2 linked regions of the Lepisosteus oculatus genome follow. The protein of the gene in region 2 purifies or fractionates together with the protein of the main gene of each other region. This does not show direct contact. Links are inferred from orthologs where the notes say so. Each region holds a gene or a part of one and is shown on either strand. Other genes may lie near its edges.

Region 1 (10,873 bases), on a different chromosome or scaffold from region 2:
TTTATTTATCAGTAGAAAGATTAATCTTTCATGTGTATTGAAGCGGAAAAAGCAGCAATTCATCTTAGCAAAGCTGACTGTGGTTACTGCAGGGTTCAACCAACATCATAAAACTTTTAGGAGGTACTCAGTTGTGGTTTCTATAATTATTTGGATTTTTACATTCTAAGAGTATTTGGCCTGTTCAGTCTACTTCTAGTGACGTCCGTACAGGTTTCTCAGAAAATGAACCTATTGATCAAATGTAGATTGTTTATGTCATTAGTTGGTTTGAATAACTTCAATAGTTGCCTTTACTGCAAAATGCATTCCTCACCTCATGGAAAATGTCACATCGCTGCTTTCCGGTTTCTCAGACATTCATTAAGTTCCTATGTTAAGTTAATGGGTGGTGTGACATACTGTAACATTGTCACTTTTGCCTCTGTTGAACTGCTTCTAGAAAATCCAGAGCCTCCCTCAGACCCACTGCAGATTTAGTTTGCTGACGTGCGCATTTCCTGGGTTGGCAGGAAATCAAGATCAAATGCGGGGCCTGATGGGGAAGTGCTGATCCCTCGGGATCACGTCAGCTTTTCTTTCCAATTCCCCTTCGGACTGTGGCTTGTAGAGCCTGTAATCTTCACCCTCTGGAGCTCAGATCTTTCTTTATAGTGCTACTAGAAGAGAATGCTATATATAGTAAAACCAGAGCTATCATGGTTATAAACTACTACAATTTAATAAAAAAAATGGCTGAAGTCTTGGTTTGAATAACAAAATGTAACCAAACAAACACGAGGGGCCTCTCTCAGTTCTTATCTTTCTTAGCGTTTGTGACTAAACAAAAGGGTAATGTTTCTTTTAGGCACAGTTTTGTTTCAGTCTGTAATTTCGTTTCATTCCGTAATTTTAAACAAAGAGCAAATCCTTAAGGAAGGATGTGCAGTGAATATGAATATTCATATTCTAAAGAAAGGCTTTCCCTAAAGGTAAAGGTGTTGCTTTAGACATAAATGTGATGCGAGTTGATTAGAAGGTTAATGTCCTGCTCACAATGATATCCTTTATACCTTGGGGAATCCCTGGAGTTTTTTTAAGAAGCATGTACTTCCTGCTTATTTCCATATTTGTCCAAAAGCAATTCACATAATACCTCAGTAAGTTTAGTTTGCTCAAAGAGGCTGTGACATTGGCTTCTTGAAGACAAGCTGTGTTTTTTTTTTCCACTGGAAAAACACAGATGTACAAGTTACAGGCTTTTCACTGTTAGGACAGGTAAAAAGATTACAAGTGAAAGAGAGAGAACAGTCAATTACTTTTTACCACAAGCAAGCCTTGAATGGGAAATACCTTTCTCGTGGAACTAGAATTCTATGTAATGGCTGTAGACAATGGAGGTTCAATGGGGAGGAAAACATCTTTAATTAAAACATCAGGAAGCTTGTCTATTTAGCTGGTAAAATGCTTTACATCAGGCAACACTAGCTTTAATTACTTCCAAAATACTTGTTTGCTGTTTTCAAAACCAAACATAACTTTCGCTTTAATAAGCCCACAGTGCCATCTCCTGTCTGTGGAAGGAATGCAGTAAACTAGTGTTACAGTCATGTAGAAAATGAGTTAAAGGGTTTTGGTATAGCTATCAGGGCAGGGCAGCAGCTCAGTAGTTACCATTGCTGGTTCTCAGTGCTGGGGCCTGGGATTCAATTCTAGACCTGTGGTACTATTTGTGGGGAGCTTGTAAGTTGTACTTGTGTTTACACAGGTTTCCTCTGGGTGCTCTGGTTTCCTCCCACAGTCATACTCATTCAAAACATATTGGTAGGTTATTTGGTTTCTGGAAAACTTAACTCTGGAACCCTGGGGTGAGCATAAGTTGTGTGAGTGTGTCTGTGTGTGCCCTATAACGGGGTGATATCCCATCCAGTGTGTATCCTGTATCATGTCCGTTCTTCGATGAAATATGCTCCAGTTTTCCCATGACCCTGGAGTGGATAAACTAGTTAGAAAATAGATGGCACCTACTGCAACTGAAGGACAAATATCATATATTTGGAAAGTAGGAATATATAGGACTGTAGGAAAGTCCTCCTGTTTTTCCATGTGAAAACGTTCCAGGAGGGTGTAGGGTATCCAGAAGCAGCTCCAGTCCTAACCTTCTCCCCTATCCTCCACTAACTACCTCCACTGAACTACACTACAAACCTGCACATTACCTGACTTTGAACTTTGTTCAATACAAAGCACAAAACTGCTGTGCTGGAGGGGCTATGAAATTGAAAAAGTGCCTTATATTGTGATTTTTTTCACCTCATAACTTAGTGCTTTATCTTAATATTTTGTATGACCCTTAGTTATGAAACTTGTGTACTGTTCAAATTTGTGGTGTCTATTCGTTTAGAACAGGGGTCTCCAAACCTGTGGTCCCCTATTTTTAAAGGGAAACTGAAGTCTCGATTTCTGAGAGCTATTATTAAATCTCGGTAACAAAATAAATTCATTGACAGCATGGAAAAAAAATTACAAGTTTCGAATTCCAAATTCATTAACTTTGTGAAAGTACTGTAAGTCTCCATGTTGTTGCAAACCCCTGGTCTCACCGTCAGACAAGAGCGAGATTTTGTAAGAATTGTGATGTGATGCAGCCCTTCCTGCTCACTAGTCACTGTAATGACTAATGTAATATGATGTACAGTAAGAACGCATACATACAGATTGTGTAGCAGACATTTCTCGGCAGAAGTGTTCCAACGTGGTCTGCATGCAGAGTTAACAAGTAAGTACTATTTGTCGGCAAAACCGTCTCGAAATAGAGAGCAATATTTCTGTTGGATTACAAGAGATGTATTCACAAGCCTGCTAGTTAACAATGTAATAGGGCTGGTTCATGTCATTGGCTGTTTTGTTGCCTCATTCTGAATTGCAGAATATGACTGGGTGCACCTGGAAATTTAGTCTATTTGATGTAGGTTGGAGGTTTGAAAGTTACTGTGTACATTTTACATTTATTATGGTTTGAAATATTCTTTCTTACACCGAACTTTAGAAAATATGGTTGCAACTACCCCCTTTCAAAACAAAGCAGGTGATAAATCAAAAAATGAATCTGCTCAATCAAGAATACTTAATTTTTATCATTAAATCGCTTAATTTCTCAAATCACCTGTTTAATCTATCGCAGTTGATCTATGGCTTTAGAAATTGGTAATTTAATGGTGACTTACAAAACCTCCTGAATTGGGGCTGCCTAGAATCAGGGTTCAAGACCCTTGTTTTAAAATGTAAGTTTAATAAAAGGAAAACTTTGCTAAGGTTATTCGTGCAAGACAAGGCACAGTCAGAATAATGGAAATGTTTTTTAAAAAATCTAATATGGTCACCACATTGTGACCTAGAGTCTGACCTTTTTACCTGTTACTATTGCCAATGGAATTATGAAAGCATGTTTCATTGGTTAATTATAGGGATTTTATAGTCATTAAATTATTTTTCACTACAAAATCTATAATAATAAATAGGTCTTCAGGAACTCTGTTGCTAAGCCCCCTAATAAATTGGACATACTGTACAAACAACCTGTCGTCTGAACTACTGTAGACATCAGGTTCAGTTGGGGATTTGACGTTTATATTCTATTTAGAAGAATAATGCAAATATTCCTTGGCTCTGTTCTTTCTCTATATGCGACCATGCTATTTAATTTTGACTTTATGCCAGCAGAGCGTAATCACAGAATTGCGTGCTTCAAATCACATCTTCAGCTGTTAAACGCACGACGCAGTCCTGTTAAGGAGATGCGAGCGGTTGGAGAGTTTGTCAGGCAGGGAGTTCCCTTTTCATTGTGATTTAAGTTAAACATGTTACTTCATTCCACCTCCAAAGACCAGACATTACTGAAAGAACAGAATCAAAGCGGTAATTCTGAGGCAAAAACGCTAAAGTTATTTAACAAACGTCTCCACAGCCCACCACATTCTCCAGTCAGCTCACCATAGAATATATAATTAACTAATACAATACTAAAAACATATGCAGTTTATAATGTTACTGTCTTAAATTGCTGTTTTGTCATTCACAATAAAACATACTGTACTTCTTGAACTGTACCGTCATCAACCAGCAGATGGAGACAAACGTTTAAAACCTAACATTTGTTTTCGGAAGTGGCGTTGTTTTAGATCCGTACTAATGCACTGATACTTGATGTAGCCTGTGCTGTTTCTTCGTTGGGCTGTAGGTGGCGTACGAGTGTTATTATACAATATAATAATAATAATAATAATAATTGCTTACACTTATATAGCACTTTTCTGGACACTCCACTCAAAGCGCTTTACAGGTAATGGGGACTCCCCTCCACCACCACCAATGTGCAGCATCCACCTGGATGATGTGACGGCAGCCATAGTGCACCAGAACACTCACCACACATCAGCTATCAGTCGGGAGGAGAGCAGAGAGTAATGAAGCCAATTCATAGATGGGGATTATTAGGAGGCCATGATTGGTAAGGGCCAATGGGAAATTTAGCCAGGACACCTGGGTTACACCCCTACTCTTTTCAAGAAATGCCCTGGGATTTTTAATGACCACAGAGAGTCAGGACCTCGGTTTAACGTCTCATCCGAAGGACGGCGCCTGTTTACAGTATAGTGTCCCCGTCACTATACTGGGGCATTAGGACCCACATGGACCACAGGGTGAGCACCCCCTCCCATCCAGGTGCTGACCAGGCTCACACCTGCTTAGCTTCAGTGGGTTGCCAGTTGTGAGTTGCAGGGTGATATGGCAGCTGATATATTATATTATAAGTATCTTTATAATAGGATATGGTGTGCGTTAGAAACGCAAAAAACGAAGGTTTGTACTTTTAGATGAGTGTTTTGGAGGATTTGACGGTGCTCACATAAATTCAGAAGAATGAGAAGATGGGTCTTTGCTTTTTTTAGTCCCCTAAATGTCTAGGGTGAGGTACAAACCCCCAGACTCTGCTATACAGACAGATACTTTGTAAGCATATGGGCCACTAACACTTAACATTACAAGCACCATGAACAGGCAATTAAGCATACTCACAAGACCTTTGAACCCTTCACTCAGTCTGGACTGTCACAGTACTGTATGATAATGAAGTCCACTAGTACTTAAAATCAATTAGAGCCCAGCTGCAGTCCCATCTCCTACCTCTAGGAGTCCTCATTCTTCATTCTACTGTGTTCATAGGACACGAATGCCCCCAAACTGATGTCAGATGCTTTTGTTCCAGTGCTAAACGTAGAGAGTATTTTATTCTCTGATAGTATCTTTAATTATGAGTAAGAACTAAGCCTTTTTTCTTAAACGTATCTTACTGAGACATTTCTTAGTCTGACCTCGCTGTGACATTCACATTTCCTGCTGTGTTGACCAGCTTGTGAGCTGTCCTTTGTAGTCATACAACCTACTTTGCCTTGACGTCTTTAAATAATTTTTAAAGGATGAAGATAATAATGTGGGTTTCTCAATTTCTTCTCGTACAGATATTGTTGTGCCTGTACTTGACAGTTTTGGCTTCAGATCAGACAGGTGTGTGCTGCTTGTCTGTACAAAAGAAACACACCTTACCGCTGGGCTCGTAACAGCGGGGTATGATGAGGATCAAGCAAACACCATGGAGCAGGTTGGATACAGGGGGAAATCTCTTCCACAAGTCCTTTTAAAAATAAAATCCAACCAAAACATCAACAAAGATAAAAGACAATTATTCTATCAAGAGGTTCAGAACTGCCATGCTTCTCGATACATTAACTTCTTTTAATTCACTGGAATTTTAATTAACTGGGATTTAATGGAAGCAGGTGGCGGGCTGTTTTATACTTCCATTAATATTTTTAAAATAAGGCATTATGAATCTTATCAATGTAATAAAAGTAAATCAATGTACAGTATTTTAATGAGAAAGGTGTGACCATGTACAGTATCTTTATAGAAGATTTGCTTATATACCGTTTGGAAAACGGAAGTAAGGCGAAGCAGTAAAAAAATAAATTAGTGCTCCCGAAAAAATAGAAAAAAATAAAACTGGTGAAATGTAAAAAATATCATATGGATTGAGGGGAAAGCCTGAGCCTAAAAAACATCAATACTAAAACGAAAACGAGAGCAATAGTTTTAGATTTAGCTGAAGAGTAAATCTTTCTTCCTAATATTTTATTTCCTGACACCTTTGATTAATGAAATGTAATGTTTCGTAGTAATGTTAGTTCATGCACTGTGTCCCCTTTTATACAAAAATCCCAATAATCTCTCAACGTTTTTTGTCATACATAAAATGTATTTGTCAACGTTGTACATCCTTTCAGACGAACTCTTTTGCTCATCAAAATGTGGGTTTATTTTTAATCCCCCAGTTGCTCCCTTTTCTGGCATATTCGATCACTTTTTAGCTGCAGAGCATTTCTAGAACTGAGAAAGAAATCTTAACTCAAGTTTGCGTCCTTCTTGGTGTCTTAAAGTACCACGGCTGTTAATTCAAAACTTTAATTCAGTTTAAATGACCACTAACTAAATCATTGCTATTTAAAAAAAAGAACTGTGAAACGGCCTGCTAAACAATATTTATCGTTGTTTGTGTCGAGCTCGTATCGCCGAAAGCCTTGAAGTGCGACTCTTACAGACGATGAGAGAAGGGCACATCAAGCAGTAACTGATGTGCACTGTAATCAGGCCTGTCCTGTCGGGAAGCGCTACGTTAGCAAGGTATAATGGTAAAACACGCCTCTCGCAATCCCGCACACACTGTAGTCCCTAGCAGCAGCGGCAAGCGATGACGTCTGTGAATGTGGTGTGTGTTGACTCTGGCTCAATAACACGGCTCCACCCAATTTAACACAGCGAGCAAGTAGCTACTTTAGGAAGCCAAACATGGCGTTTGCATCTCAGTTCTGAGATGCTGTTCAAGTGTTGCTTCGTGAAGAAAACACGAGAACAGCACCTAGGAGGTCACAAAAGCGACCGTAAAGCAAAAGGGCGCAGTGAACTGACAATCAGCCGACAAGGCATGGGAGCTTGGGCAGACTAGCAGTGAAGAGGGGTCTAGGCTTAAGCAAAGTTAAGCGGGGGGATAGCTGCAGTGTATGTAAGGGAATAATAATACTAGTGAGAAAACTTTCAGGCACGCACAGCGTTGCGACAGCTGCTCCTCGTTTATTTGCTTGGTGCAGCCTAAAAGCAGGAGAGAGGCTAAAAGGAGAATATAGCGCTGCTTTGGGGGAAAATATATCATTTTGGACTGGACGTGAAGATGGCCCACTCGCCGGTAGCAGTCCAAGTGCCAGGGATGCAGGTAAGTAAGGCCTCGTTATACAAACTTCACCTACGGCACTGGAAATTGCCCACACAGCACAGGAATTGCGCATATGCGGCTCCTGTTGACTCCGAGCGCTTCAAACCGGCGGATTGGCAGCCAGTTTGCTAGCCCTGGCTTTATTAAACAAAAGCCCAAAGCCGTGGCGTTATCACAGTCATTTTAAAATTTGTTTTCAACGGTTCGGTTTCTGAATCATCACCGTGGTACAAAACGGGAAACGAGAATTATTCTTGTTCAATGGGTCTAAACCACACAGATTAGCCGATCACTCGCGTACTCTAAAATATTGGCAACGCAAGCGCATCCCCATAATGTATTTGTGAACTTTGAAGTTTCTCTCGGCTTCTGTGGTCATGCAGCCTTTGTGATTAAACTGTGCGATTTATCTGCGCCGAAAATAACTTGCTGCGTTTTAGAGTCGCCTCCTTTTCTCCTGTTTTTGAACTTCGGCCAGCCGTTAATTTTAGCCTGGTCTAAAACTTTACGTACAAATCAATTAGCTAGGATCTTCCGTATTGTCAAGTTGGCTGTGTGCGCCTTAGTGAAGAAGAGAGGACAAAATAAACCCTGCTATTTGTCGTGATGGTACAGGTTTGCATTATACATTTGTGCACTATGATCGCTGTAAACAGAGACGATTCAGGTGTTTCGGTAGTAGTACAGGGTACGATTAACTGGTACTTAATGTACCTTAAAAGCACAGGAATGGTTGTAATTCAAATGTCAAGTACAGGTTTAATGTAATCGGAACTGAAATCCCAACAAAAATGTAGTTTTTATTTATCGTTGTGACGTATTTTTATTGTTTTACTGTTGTCGATGAAGAATGTGTCGGTTAGACGTTGTTCCTACGTTTTATTACAGAGCGGGCAGGCAATGTTTAAATGGGCTTTAAGGTACTAGTTACGTGCTTATAGCGAGTCTCCGGGCATGTTAGTGTCTGCTTGTCTGCCCTTGGTACATGTGATCCAGGACAGTTAAAATTACGTAGGCTTCCTTTTTTTCACGAATGTTTTGCCACACACTTTCCAACCGTCCGTGGACGTCTGCCTTCCAGCCGGAAGCATTGGCTAGTCGTTTCAGTTTGAATTCCCTGTATACTGTAAAACCTAGCCACCTCCGGGCACACTTAAGCGAGCATTGTGGAGTTTAAGAGAAACCACAAGAGCAATCTGTAAGCCCTGGTAAAGTTTTAAGCCTCACACACCCAACAGGTGTAATTATTTCTGCTGACCAGGCATTCATTAGTCACACCCATTATTAATAATTAATGGGGAAGATCCACTTGTTATAGATGGAGAAATACCCTCATCTTGGTTAAGTTGATCTGACAGTTCCAAATAAGGTACTGAAGTGCCAATCAGCGTTATTAAGATGGTCATTACAGCAGTGTAAATGGCTTGCATTTAAGAATTTTTATTTGGTGTTGTATTTTACGAATGGTTTATGGTCTTCAGTTTGATCGGATTGTGTTGAGTCATTGCCCCTGAAACTAATTGGAGTTACTCATTGCTGGGCAGTTACAAGCTACAGGACACTGTAGCTAAGGAGTGGCTTGAGATTTATTACTGGATTAGAGAACAGCAACATGCCCAATCTGTTTTATGATTTAGGTGTGCCCCTTTCCTATAATTACCATTCAGTTAAAAAAGAAAGTGAAAGCAGCTGTGAATCTTCAGGTTTTTCTTCTTGAAGTTGATCATTTAAATCCGTTTATGATAAACCCTTTCCCTGTCTGTAATAATGTAATAGCATGCCCATGGTGGATTAGACTCCTGGAAATTAGTTTTGTGTGTATGTGAGCCTTTTCATGAAATAGTCACCAGTCTTTTTTACTAATTTAATTGTGTATGAGAGACCTTTCCCCTGTCCTTGTTTGACGGTGGGGAGTGAAGCTGGTAGCTGTGCTTTGCCTAGGATAGAACAGCTATTTAATTTAATGCTATCACTTTAAATAAATTCTCTGACCCCCTGCCAGACTGAGAATATAATTAACAGGTGTTAGAATTTGTTTAAACAGAACAGTACATTTTACAAAGGTGTAGGTGTAGAAGCGAGCCTGATAATGGTTTAAGTAAATCATGTATCAAGCAAGACTTAAGGTATACATGTATGCTGTACATACAGTAAATAGACATCCTAGTCTGCACTAAACGCATGATTATTAATGATTATTACAAAGAACTGTCTAACCATGGGTAGGTGATTTGTAGTATTCTCCTTGGCCTTCCATTGAGGAGCAGAGCCCTTTCGCAGTGCATTGAAAACATCTGGAAACCTGAAGTATTTGCAACCTGCTCCCGGCACATATTTTCAAAGGGGGAGTTCCAGGTTCCAGGGAATTAGTTTAATTGGACACAGGAGAAGGACAGCACCCTGATCGTTTGTTTTTGTACACTTTAGGATAGAGCAAGCCTTGTGTGCTTTTTGATCACCATCTGGACAGCCTCAAATACCCAACTGCTCACAATCAGTTAATTTCTCCCCGTCCTCCATCTGCACAATAAACTCTCATATCTTATCTCAGGTGTCCACAAAGAGCTGATCTTCCCCATTACTTCCAGGCAGCCCAGCTGAGTTTATAGGTACTTTTTGAAATCAATACCTGCTTAAAGACGGTAAATTCACTTAAAAGAACCTTTTCAACTTCAGTAAGTATGTATCAGAATAATAGTAAAGCTTTTGAAAAGGGACAGATAGTAGGACTGTAAGTCATTCAGAGTGGAGCTCCAGAATTATTTGAAAACTGCAAAATATGACAAGAATTAATACATTATCTGTATGGTATGTAACCAGGATTACCAATCCTGGTCTGTGGAATCCAACTTCTGATCTTTATTCCAACTGAGCTATTGAACCATTAATTAAAGTAATTTGCTGTTTTGGTCCTTTTGAATTTTTCCAGCTCTAAAACTACTGGAGATTGTAAGTTTTATATACTGTATATTTATAAAAGCACAAGTCATTTGAAATTTACAATATGTTTGGAGATCATTTGCAATTGTTTTAAAATTATAATCAGGGGTTCATGTGACTAGTATATACTGTACTGTATGTATGCTGAAGAAAATGAAAGTGTACCTCTCCCTTGAAGGTAACATTGCTGGCAGCAATGTAGGCAAGTATCCTTTTCTGAAAATAAATTGATTATGATCTTGAAAACGGCAAACAATGAAATCCTTCACCATTTCAGTATGTATGCCAGGGTTTCCTTTGGCTGTATATGAGCCAGATAGGCTACCTGCCTAAAAATCAGTACTGCCGGGCCAAACAAATTTATGAGTGCAGACAAAATGTACACAAGAATTCAAATTGAAACGCTGGTTCATAATAAGAGACTGCATGATCATTTGCTTGCCAACAGCCACGATAGTGTATAATCTCATAGCTCTTAAGTGTCGCCCCTTGGAACCAAATCTTGATATTTGCTAGTAAACAAGTCGAGGTTGTTAAAGAAAATGAAGTAATGAATATAAGATTGTTGTAGAAACACATGATTCCATTAATAAGCCAAGAGTTTTTTGCGTGTAATTAAAAAAAATC
Region 2 (11,204 bases):
AAGTTTGTCCGGGAGTCTACTCTGTTGATAGGAATGTTCTGGGCTCGGTGTGGGGAAGGGATAGCTTTACAGTTCTCTACGGACAGCCATTGACATCGTCTGAAATGTCGATAGCTTTTGCTGAATTTGTTGTTGCTTTTTGGGGGGATTTTTTTGCGCTTTCTCTCGGCCAGTATTTGCAGTCTAAAAGGTCACATTAATTTCAAGGGACGCCAGAGAAAGGGTAGCTTGTCTGAAAGGATGCACCTCAAAGAGGAAAATCATCCTCACTAAGGGCTAGTTAAAATTAGGTACTGAAAGGACTTTCAAGGTACAGTTTCTTTCAGAGCTAGGAATGCATTTTGTTCTGTACGTAAATGTTTCTGTACGACCCTCACGTTTAAACGTTTTAATGACATATTAAATCTTAAAATGTTTTATAACACCACAAGTGGAACAAAATAATCGCATAAAATACCAAATAAACTGGCAATAACACAATTCAATGTTCATAATTCACAGTACAGTTTGATATTTTAAACAAAATTAGAGCGCAAATCCTAATATGTTCTTTGTTCGTTTCTAACAATACAATGAAACATCGTATTGCCTTTGTAAGGCAAATATGTGTTATAATTAAATTTTATATGTCCCTCTAGTGTGCATGATCATGATAATGGGAATCAACCGTGAAGCTATGAAAAAGTTCACAATACAAAGAGTCGCGAGTTTATGGAACAAAACTGATCCAAGGTTCTGAAGTTTCTGTAATAGGGCACTCCTAGCTAAATAAAACAGAGCTGAATCCCGGAGAGTCCCGATCCAGTTAGTTTCACTGGTCACCAGTTTAAGATAATGAATTACATAATTTTAAAAAGCACCTGTTTAATTTAATTTATCACAGCAGAATTGCTGCATGTCTTTCAGCTTCGGTTTAATGGTGACCTACAAAACAATTGGACCGTGCCTCTCCAGAACCAACGTTGTATGTCAATCAAGGACTTGACGCTTCGGTAGAGTATCACGATACAATTACAGCAATTTTCACCTGGTTCACGCGATTTCATTTTAGTTGTGATTTTCTGATTAATGCTTCAGCGTCGGTGCCCTATGACAACTCATTTTAATCTTGGCTTTAGCACTGCAATATCATTCTACCCGCCCAGTGGCTTTGACCGGCGCTTTCCGTATTTGCGGAATTCGACGTTACAACGCAGACGTTACAATCTTTTTTTTTAACCGTCAACTGAGTTTGTATACTTGCTGTATTTCTAGATATAAAAAGAAAACCCAGATGCGACGGTCAGCAGTATATTTAGTTCTATGTTGCAATTCAGAAGGTTACCTTGGTTAATTTAAAAATAAAGCACAAACCCCACATACAGCAGCTTGTACTGTAGTGGGGCTGAATTACTGTAAGGATAAAGCGCAACCGAGTGCTCTTCAGTAGGGACGCCGCGGGGCGCAAATGAGCCGTGACTGTGTCTGTAAACAAGCTTGTGAATATAAAAAAGGTGAGATACGACTGCTTATGAGCTCTTCTCGTAATGACCGCTGGTTCTGCTTAATGAATAACTGTGTGAGGGTCAGCGTCTTTTCCGCAGAAGAGTAACTTGGTAATTTTCTGTTCATTATGATGGACACCAGTCCGCATTATACACGCGACCAGGGGCTGTGAAGCGTTCGACTTTTGAGTGGCGTGAAATTGATAATATAACTTTTAAAAGGCCTGCCTTATGAAAATAAATCTTTACTCGCAGAACTTTCTACCACCAGAAAAATCGTTCTCCGCTATTGTAAGCCGTCATTGTTTCTCCTGATTGACCTTGGTTGGACCAAGAGGAATATTGGCATTGGTGCGCATCCCGAATTGCACACCTGAGCTATTTCTCATTTCAGCTTCCTTCGTCAAATAAACTGGCTTGTCTGTGTCCAAGAGCTCTTTGTATCCTGCATCTTCCTTCGACAGATGTGAACTTTGAAGTTGTGTACTGTACCATATAGTAGGCAATCATGGGGCTGACAATGATAGTTAATTAGCCTGGCCCAAAATTGGTTGGTGAGCTGTTGTTGGGTCTATCATTATTGTTAACCAGCCACATTTGAGTTTTGACTACAATTAATGACCTTTTTTATTGAAGAGAACAATATTGTTTGTCTTCTTTTTAGATCTTTTATTAAAGTTATTTATGTTGAAGGGGGAGGCACAGTGGTTAGCATTCCTGCCTCACAGTGCTGGGGCCCTGGGTTCAATTCCAGACCTGGGGTGCTGTCTGTGTGGAGTTTGTATGGTCTCCCCATGTTTTCTAGGTTTCCTCTGGGTGCGCCGTTTTCCTCCCTCAGTCCAGAGACATCCTGGTAGGTTAATTGGCTTCTGGGAGAATTGGCCCCATTGTCAGTGCTTGTGTGTGTTCCCTGTGATGGACTGGCATCTCGTCCACGTTGTACCCTGCCTTGCACCTATTGCTTGCTGGGATAAACTCTGGCTCCCCAGTGACCCTTTACTGGAGACAGTGATTAGAAAATGAGTGAATGGATTTATGTCAAAATTAATGTCTTTAAGAATTTCTTAGGGTGATTAACAGAATAGAAATTAATGATAATCATAGGATATTGACAGTGGAGCTAGTCCATCTCCACAACTTCAACAGCTTGGTGCATGAAGACGTCTGTGAATTTGCTGCTAATCGCTTGCATAATAAGAATAATAAGATAAGGGTAAAAAGAACAGGGGGGTTTCACTATGTTTAAATAATGTACTGCATGTGACTTGTGCAGTTTTTCTGTCTTTGCAAAGCTTTGATCAACATGCTTTACTGCACTCAACTATGACAGCAGCCTGCTAGTATTTACCAAAGCAGATGTTTAGAAGGGTTGTGTAGACTTAATGTCATGGGTAACTGAGAATTTGTCAATCCAGTTTATTTTCTAAAGCACTTCTCTGAAAGATCAAGAATCTCGCTTTGGCAGTCCTTTTGAACTTTGCCATAGTGTATTGACACGTGACAGTTTTTTTTTCCTACGGAAGGCAATTAAAATAATGTTTTCATAGTGTGATGTTTAGTGTCAGAAATAAAAACAAATCAGTAAAATTATTTTTAATCACTTTTCATCTCCTGAAGGCAAAAGCAAAAAAAATAATAATTTTAAGCTCAAGAATAATTAATACAGCATTAACGTGGCTGTTTTCGTGAAAACCACTTCATGGTAACTATGAACTGACAAAGAGCTGTTATTCTTTCAATTACAAAAGTGCCCCAGGATACTTTTTTCAAGTTCCTATGAATGAAAGGTTTCATAATAAAGCACAAAGAAAACCTTGGCATAAATATTAATATTCCTGCTGTGCCTAATTAGTATATCAAAGAGTGGCAAAGGCCATTACTCACTCAAAAACTTGTTTCAGCTCAAACATCACTAGCGTTTTCAGCTTTAGAAGACGTTTCAGTTTTAATTTTTTAGGTGAGTTTTAATTTTGTGTCTCAGGACCAGAAGTAGCTAATGGACTGTGACCCCATGTCCTGAATTAATGAGCTCTTTGCTAGTGTAAAGATGTTCTTGGGAAGAATCTATACTTATTTTGAAGACCACTGGCTTTGACATTATTTTGGCCAAAATGGAACTCCAGACCAGTCCAGACTCCAGCTAGGATATCGTGACTCCAGAGACACTGCTAGAGCAGTGCATGGGCACCAGGACTCTCCCTTTCAACTGGAAAACCAGATACTGCTAGAGCATCAGGACAGTCTCCTGCCGGAGCGAGCCAGACACTTCTGGGGTACTGGGATTCTCCCACTCCAGAGAGCCAGACACTGCCACAGCCCTGGGACTGTCCCTCTCGCCTGGATAGAACATATTTCTCTGCCTTGGATCAGTCACTGATGGTTAAATCCAATCCAAGTACACCCTTTTCCTGGGATGCTGTTACACAGGAATGGGTTGTAATCCCCCATTCCTCAGAATTGTGTCTTGTCCACACCAAATTTAAACTCATTGAAGCCTTTCAAAAGATTAGAATCAACTGTAAAAAAGCATTAAGCTCTATTTTGAGTACACTGTGAAGTTCATGGCTCCAGAGCTAACAGGTGTACAATTCAAGTTTGTGTTTAAATCAAACCAAGAAAGAGTTATTTTTTTTTTTGCTACCAACTAACCAAAGTGTTTTCCATATCTGCTGATTTCTGTATGTGCGGAAATTACAAAACCGCATTAGCGACAGTAAAATGTGCAAAAACCTAATTAAATTCAACGGTTCAGTTTATTCTAGAAATGCTTCTTTCGAAGTGCGGGAAATACTGACGTCTACCTTACCGTACGTCCTTATGTCCACCAGAGGGCGTCTGAATTCCAGTTTTGCTCTCATCGCATAATGTTCTCATGCCTACAGTATATCTGCTAATCATGCAGCGGAGGTACAGTAGTCTTTCTGCTGGCTAGGGAAAGACTTAATGATATGTCGATGAAAAACTCAACTTTAGGGCAGTACGAGAATTGTAAATGGTGTCGATGGAAACAAAAATCTACCAAACAGCTCTTTCATGCTCTTGAGGTACAATTGTTTATGAACCAGACGTTTGGGAGAAACAATGCGCAGCGGCCCGAGCCACGAGTATTCACTGTTCAGCTTGTAAAGGTACAGTATTAACAGTGTAACTGTAAGGTTCGTAGCTTACAAGAGTGTTAGACAAGAGTGTCGTAAGTCGCTACCTATATACGATTTTATATAGGTCGGACTTTTTTGTGTAAACGTTAGTTTTCCATTTAAAACTGAATTTCACAGAAGACGTATATTCAATATAATTACATATCCTGATATCCTGTTTTGCTAACTAAAACTTATATAGCGCTTTTCTGGACACTCCACTCAAAGCGCTTTACAGGTAATGGGGTCTCCCCTCCACCACCACAAATGTGCAGCCCTACATGGATGATGCGACGGCAGCCATAGTGCGCCAGAACGCTCACCACACATCAGCTATCAGTGGGGAGGAGAGCAGAGTAATGAAGCCAATTCATAGAGGGGGATTGTTAGGAGGCCATGATTGATAAAGGCCAATGGGAAATTTGGCCAGGACGCCGGGGTTACACCCCTACTCTTTTCGAGAAACGCCCTGGGATTTTTAATGACCACAGAGAGTCAGGACCTCGGTTTTACGTCTCATCCGAAGGACGGCACCTGTTTACAGTATAGTGTCCCCGTCACTACACTGGGGCATTACAGTAGGACCCACATGAGCCGCAGGGTGAGCGCCCCCTGCTAGCCCCACTAACACCCCTTCCAGCAGCAACCTTAGTTTTTCCCCAGGAGGTCTCCCATCCAGGTACTGACCAGGCTCACACCTGCTGAGCTTCAGTGGGCTGCCAGTTGTGAGTTGCAGGGTGATATGGCTGCTGGCATTGCAGGGTGATATGATGGGTGACGCACTGTAGCCATTGTGCACCAGCAGCCACAATGTAAATATGAAAACCCTAACAAACCCAGAATGGCATTTTTCCGAAACTCCTGGTTTAACGTAACTATCTTGACAGTGATCATAGTCAGAAATTTGGTTGAACGTCTCGCCCGAAACAGCACAATCTCACCGCTCAACAAAAGATGGGGAAATTAGTTTGGAAATTCTGGTACTGAGGATAGGGCAACACCTAGTGGTCCACTGAGACCACAAACCTGATTTCACTTTGAGGACTCCCATCCCAGAACTGAGCAGTTCACTGTTTTCCACTGCCTCATGTCCTTGTAGTCTGTAGTGTGTTTTACCAACGTTAAAGTGGTTTTTAATAGATCCTGATACTGATAGGTTCACTGTTTGAAGAATTTTCAACTTTAACTCCGGTTAAATTTGAAGTAAACGACATCGGAAAATAACTCAGGAAAGTCCGTCGCTTTCTTTAGAAAGAGGCTTCTATTTAAATTCTTAATATGAAACATACATCTGTAGTGTACTGTATATAGACAGTATGCCAGGATGACTAAAGAGATAAGGGGCCCATCTCGAATCCCCATGGAGACTGGATTTCCCCTGAGACCGCATCTTTCCCGGAGGATGACTGCGTAAAGTGTCACTAGATCTTGGAGGCAAGTGTTTTTAAGACTTTAAGACTTTTCTTGCGGCTCGATTTCTTTAATTACACACCGTCCCGTGGTGTAATTCTTAATCTTTCCAACAGATAAAGTTTAAAGTTGCTCCACGCTACTGCTAGAGAGTGCTGCTTGAGTCTTAATATCCCCGAACTGTCAGATTATAAAGAAATGTAGCAATTTCAGAGATTTAGGTTCTGCTACAATTAAAACGTAAACTTGAAGGAGAACACCTTCAATTTATGGAGGATACAATGTAGCCACGAGGAACACGCAGGAAATGACTTCATCAATCAGAATTTAGCAAAAAAAATCTAAACAAAGAGACTAATCCAAACCTGTCTCCCCGCCCCTTGTCGCCCAGATGAGGTTCTGATAGGCCGATCCTTGGAAATCCCTCTTGCGGATATGCTGAATATTCCATCAATCAATTCTGTCCGTAGTTTCCGCTGGGATTTACCGTCAGATTTTTTTTAACTATTTTTTTTTGTCTTTTTGGATGGGAAAATTAAAGCAGCAGGAGCGGGACGCATGAAGGTATGTTTTCATGTCTTTTTAACTGAATTATCTATTTAATTGACTGCGATACGTTCCTAGACTGTTAATATGTACTGGTGTGATGGACCGACTAGTTACAAAGTTAGCTGGAGCCTGAATCGTTTCCTATAGAAGTCTGTTTAATAGGGTAACCACAAAACAACTAAAAAAACGGAAAGGCAGGTAAAGTAAAAAAAAAAGTGTGCAAGAATTTGCTTAAACAGATATCTTAAAACAAAATATTTTCCAAATGACTGATGTTTTCTTTTATGTAATATTGTTACAACATTACGTTTCCGATACAGTTCCAAACTGTACGATACATTTTAACAATACAACAACCAAAAGTTTATGAATAATAATGAAACATAGCACCTGGTGTTTTTGTTTAAAGATAAAACGTTCAATACAACTGAGTTAACTGGAAATATTTGAATTCAGATGTCACATTTAACAGAGGTGTTGGATAAGATTGTGTCAATATTATAACACTACCAGGTTTTATCGGTGATACAAATAATGATGGCTATATGGACAATGATGAAGACGAATAAGATCATATATAGACAATATTATTTTAAAATGGGTTATTAACAGACTGCTTTGGTTGGGGGGTACTGGTCCGAGGTAGAATTAAATAATATATCCCTTCTTCGGCTTCATTATAGTAGGCGCTTCTGACCCGTAGAGCAGTTAAAATAGCCATTCATGGTCGTCAAGTCTCAAATCTTCCACAAAGCCGCGCTTTGGGAAAGTTTTTTTTTTAATCACACTTCGCAAGTTATGAACTTGGGACAAAGCAGCACTTTACTGGGTATATTGGCAGAGGCATTAAATAATTCACACATTTTCTAGTAAAGTCTTCGCTTTGAAATCGGAGTACAGCACCGAATTTGTTTCAAGTGTTCAGATTTTTAAACAATATTCTGTTGACACGCACATTTAAGGTGTTTGTCAGCGTAAGCGTACCGTGAGATTTTCTTTTCGGATGTGCTTTTAGCAAGGTTCTGTTTTCTTTTCTCCTGCGTGTATGATACGGTTCTCTTGGCATTTCTGTTTACAGTGAAAAGGCTTAGGCATCCAATTGGGGTTTCGTGTCTGTGCGGGAGGGGCTCAAAAAGCTGATCACTGAGTGGGTAGAGTTAAAATGTCAGACTCCATTTACTTACTGAAATTCCCTACTCCTAGATACACATTGCGCTGCTGGACTTTCGGAAACCCCCTTTATTGTAGAAACAGTAGTGGTGACACGAGTTAAAAATCATAGAAGACCTAGGTTCTCATAGTTGGGTTGGCGTTTCAGTGTAATAGAACTGCTGTTAGGTTTGAATTTGCACTTGATCACTGGAGCGAGTGCCAAATCCTGTTGTGACTTGTAAACTCGGTGAACTTGATTAGGCGGCTCGGAACGAGCTGGGAGCTTTAATTGATGGACAATTAATCCATGTTTAATTAATTGTTATGGGGCTGCCCTCGCAATGATTGAAAGTGTTGCACCACTAGAAATCAAAGCTGAAAAAGAAAGCTTCATAAGCAATAAGCTGTGATACACATAGTAGACTTCCTCTCCTGCCCCACACTTCTCCCCAGTTATAGTAAAACCTAGCAGGACAGTGTAGTGAGTAGGCACAAAATAACTTTCAAGTCAAATGGTTTAGTAAAAAAAGAAACAGTTATCATGCATCATTTTATATTGTGAACAAAATTAACTAAATAAATTGTGATTTGTTTTCAGTATTAATTATGTTATCGTCAAAATTGAAAACATTACAAAGTTAAGATCAGGAATGACCCTCTTCAACATTAACACAGTCTTGGCAGCACTGACACACACACCTGATCAGCCTCTGGACAGATGGTTGTGGGAGGTCTCACCACTCTTCCTGTGCAGCTGCAGCCAGCTGGAAAAGGTTAGCTGGATGCAGTTGTCTGTTGTTGATGGCAGTGGCAACTTGGTCCCTCAGATGTTTTATTGGACTCAGATGAGGAGAAATAGCTGGTTACTGTAAGACCTCTGCAAGTCCGCAACATTGTTTTCTGGAAGTCATGTCATTGTAATCCTAGTACTGCATGGTCTCGCATTGTCCTGCTGGAAATGGACCCTTCTGGAGTATCTTGCAGGAATGGAAAAGCTGTTGGCTCAAGTATCTTTGACAATGTTTACCTGTGCAGTAGGATTTGCCATCAGTCTTCTCCAATGGTGTTCTTGTCTTAAAGTCCAATTCCTCCCCAAATCATCAGACTTCCACCACTACATAAGTTAGCTTGAAAAATGGAAGAGTCACCCTAACCTCTCTGCACACACTAACCCAGAGAAAAGATCTAGCCTACAAGATTTTCGCATTAGTAGGAAGGATGGGAAAACACAATATTTACTATTTTCAATGCGAGGTATCATTTGTCCTCATCTATCAGCTCCCCAGCTAGTAACTATGTGCATGCTAGAACAGTATGTGGCCTGAAGCTATTTTGCTGTCATCAGGTGGTTTAAAGTTTAACCACTCAAGCTTGCTTTCCACTTAGGACCATATTTTGGTTTTAATCTATGATTCTGGCTTCTCTTCCAGCCCCCAAAAGGCACCACCAGAAATAAAACCATGACATTAGGTGCAGTCTTGCTTGTGTTTATCCTGTGCAGAAGATAGTCTGGTATAGCTGCAGTCCACAAAGGGTTAAAACAAAGGGCAAAAAAGTCCATGGGGAATGACCTCATCAGTTTTGAAAACTTGCTTCTTCACTTTTGTTCTCATTCTTGGCATTTTCACAGATCACCTGGGGAGCATTCATTACCTCTTTGTGTGGACTCCTGTTTGATCCTTTTGGATTCTTATCTTTTTCTGTTGTCAATCCTAGCCAACCTCCAAACAGCATCCAGACTTAGCCTCTCAGCTATATTTGCAACATACAACATTTTGCACACTGGAGCAGTAGGGCAGCTGTGTGCCCAGATTTAGTTGATCACTGGGTCAAAAGCCTTCTACACCATCAGTATGCAATGATGACCTGAAAGATCCACTACATAATGAATGTAAATATCTCTTTTATTAAAATGTTTTTTCCACTTTTCTTCTTTGGTGGTGTTGAACTTCATCTTAAATGCAGTTCTGTATCTGTTCCAGTGCCCTCTCACTTTTTTATTAATCAAATCCTTAATTACTGTAGCTGTTACATCCGATTAGGCTTGTCTTATGTCCATTTTTAAACTGCATATTTTTCTTTTATGCTTTTCCTGTTTGGAATTGCCAATTGCTAATTTATTTATTATTTAACCATAAATGTACACATCCATTCATTATCCTACTGCTTCTTCCAATTCTGGGTCATGGGGGAGCTAGAGACTATCCTGGCAAGCAATGGGCACAAGGCAGGATACACCCTGGGCGGGACACACACAGGCACAAACACGCTCACACCATGGCCAATTTTCCCCAAAGTCCATTAACCTACTAGTATGGGGAAGAAACTGGAGCACCTGGAGTTAACCTACATGAACACAGGGAGAACATACAAACTCCACGCAGATAGCACCCCAGGTCTGGAATTGAACCACTTTTCCAGTTGTGCTGCTTGCCCATAGACATGAGCCTTTGAAACGCTCCACTGTGAGTTCCACAGGACCTTGCAGACAATATAGTGTTGACTGAGGGGCACTGTTGCATGACAAGCTAAGGCTACCATGGTTGACTAGAGTCCACCAAATCCAGTGGCCCTCAGACCAGGTCAACTGTTATTACAGTTGGCTAGCAACACACCCCAGAATTGAAATGTGGGTCTGGAGTATACAGTAGGTCTCAACCTATCCCCATCAAGAACAACTTCACTTGATAAGCTGCTCATGAGCTTCTATTTTTACATAGTTCTCAGGTCCTAAAAAGCATGACAAGTACATTTGTAAATTGAATAACTAATCTTAAATCGTCAGCTGTGACAAAAATCAAAGAGGAAATATTGAGTTAATTTGTTCACTTTAAGTAATTGCAAACTCAGAAACAAATTTACAAATCACTTGGATCAGTAGTAATAGACATAGGATTCCCTTGTGGATAGGGCAGGTCTAGGAAGACTGTCCAATATTTCCTGAGGTAGGTCCCCCAAGGATGTCCATCCCTCTGTTTACAGTGTTGTCACATTGAGCCTGTGTCTAACACAGCAGGCACAGGGAACAAGATGGGACTACCATTTACTACCTTGACAATATGCGAAGCCATCACAGCCACAGCGGCTACTCATTCACTACACATATGACAGGTGCCAATTAACCTAGACCGCAAGTGTATGGACTAAGGAAAGAAACAGAGAAGAAAAACCATGTGGACATATGTAGGACACACCTCCACAAAGAAGATGTCCCATGCCAGAAGCAAGCTCCAGATTCAAGACCTGCAAGGGAGCATCACTGACCTCCAAATTCACTTTTCATTGTGAAGCTAGACTCTACAGTCACAGACAAGTAGTGACATTCTTCATTGTAACAATGTTATTCACTAATTTCCATGGTTAATCATTATAAATATCAATCACAAAGCCAAATTATTCATTGATTCATTTTGTTTGCAAAACTACACTAATCAAAAATATGTTTTCAAGGTTGGTACCCATCAACCTAATC

Evidence for each region. The genes of interacting proteins can lie anywhere in the genome.
Region 1: the proteins of cttnbp2nlb (region 2) and stk26 purify together in Homo sapiens (affinity purification with mass spectrometry; 4 studies listed by BioGRID and IntAct, with this or other methods). This does not show direct contact. The link is inferred for Lepisosteus oculatus from reciprocal best matches to the Homo sapiens genes CTTNBP2NL and STK26.

What each region holds. Positions count from the first base shown.
Region 1 is NC_090703.1:39,093,610-39,104,482, forward strand, and holds the start of stk26 (serine/threonine-protein kinase 26), read left to right. Parts: upstream 1-6,778; 5' UTR 6,779-7,264; coding exon 7,265-7,306; intron 7,307-10,873. UniProt on the Homo sapiens protein: Serine/threonine-protein kinase that acts as a mediator of cell growth. Modulates apoptosis. In association with STK24 negatively regulates Golgi reorientation in polarized cell migration upon RHO activation.
Region 2 is NC_090700.1:31,688,182-31,699,385, reverse strand, and holds the start of cttnbp2nlb (CTTNBP2 N-terminal-like protein), read left to right. Parts: upstream 1-6,507; 5' UTR 6,508-6,589; coding exon 6,590-6,595; intron 6,596-11,204. UniProt on the Homo sapiens protein: Regulates lamellipodial actin dynamics in a CTTN-dependent manner. Associates with core striatin-interacting phosphatase and kinase (STRIPAK) complex to form CTTNBP2NL-STRIPAK complexes.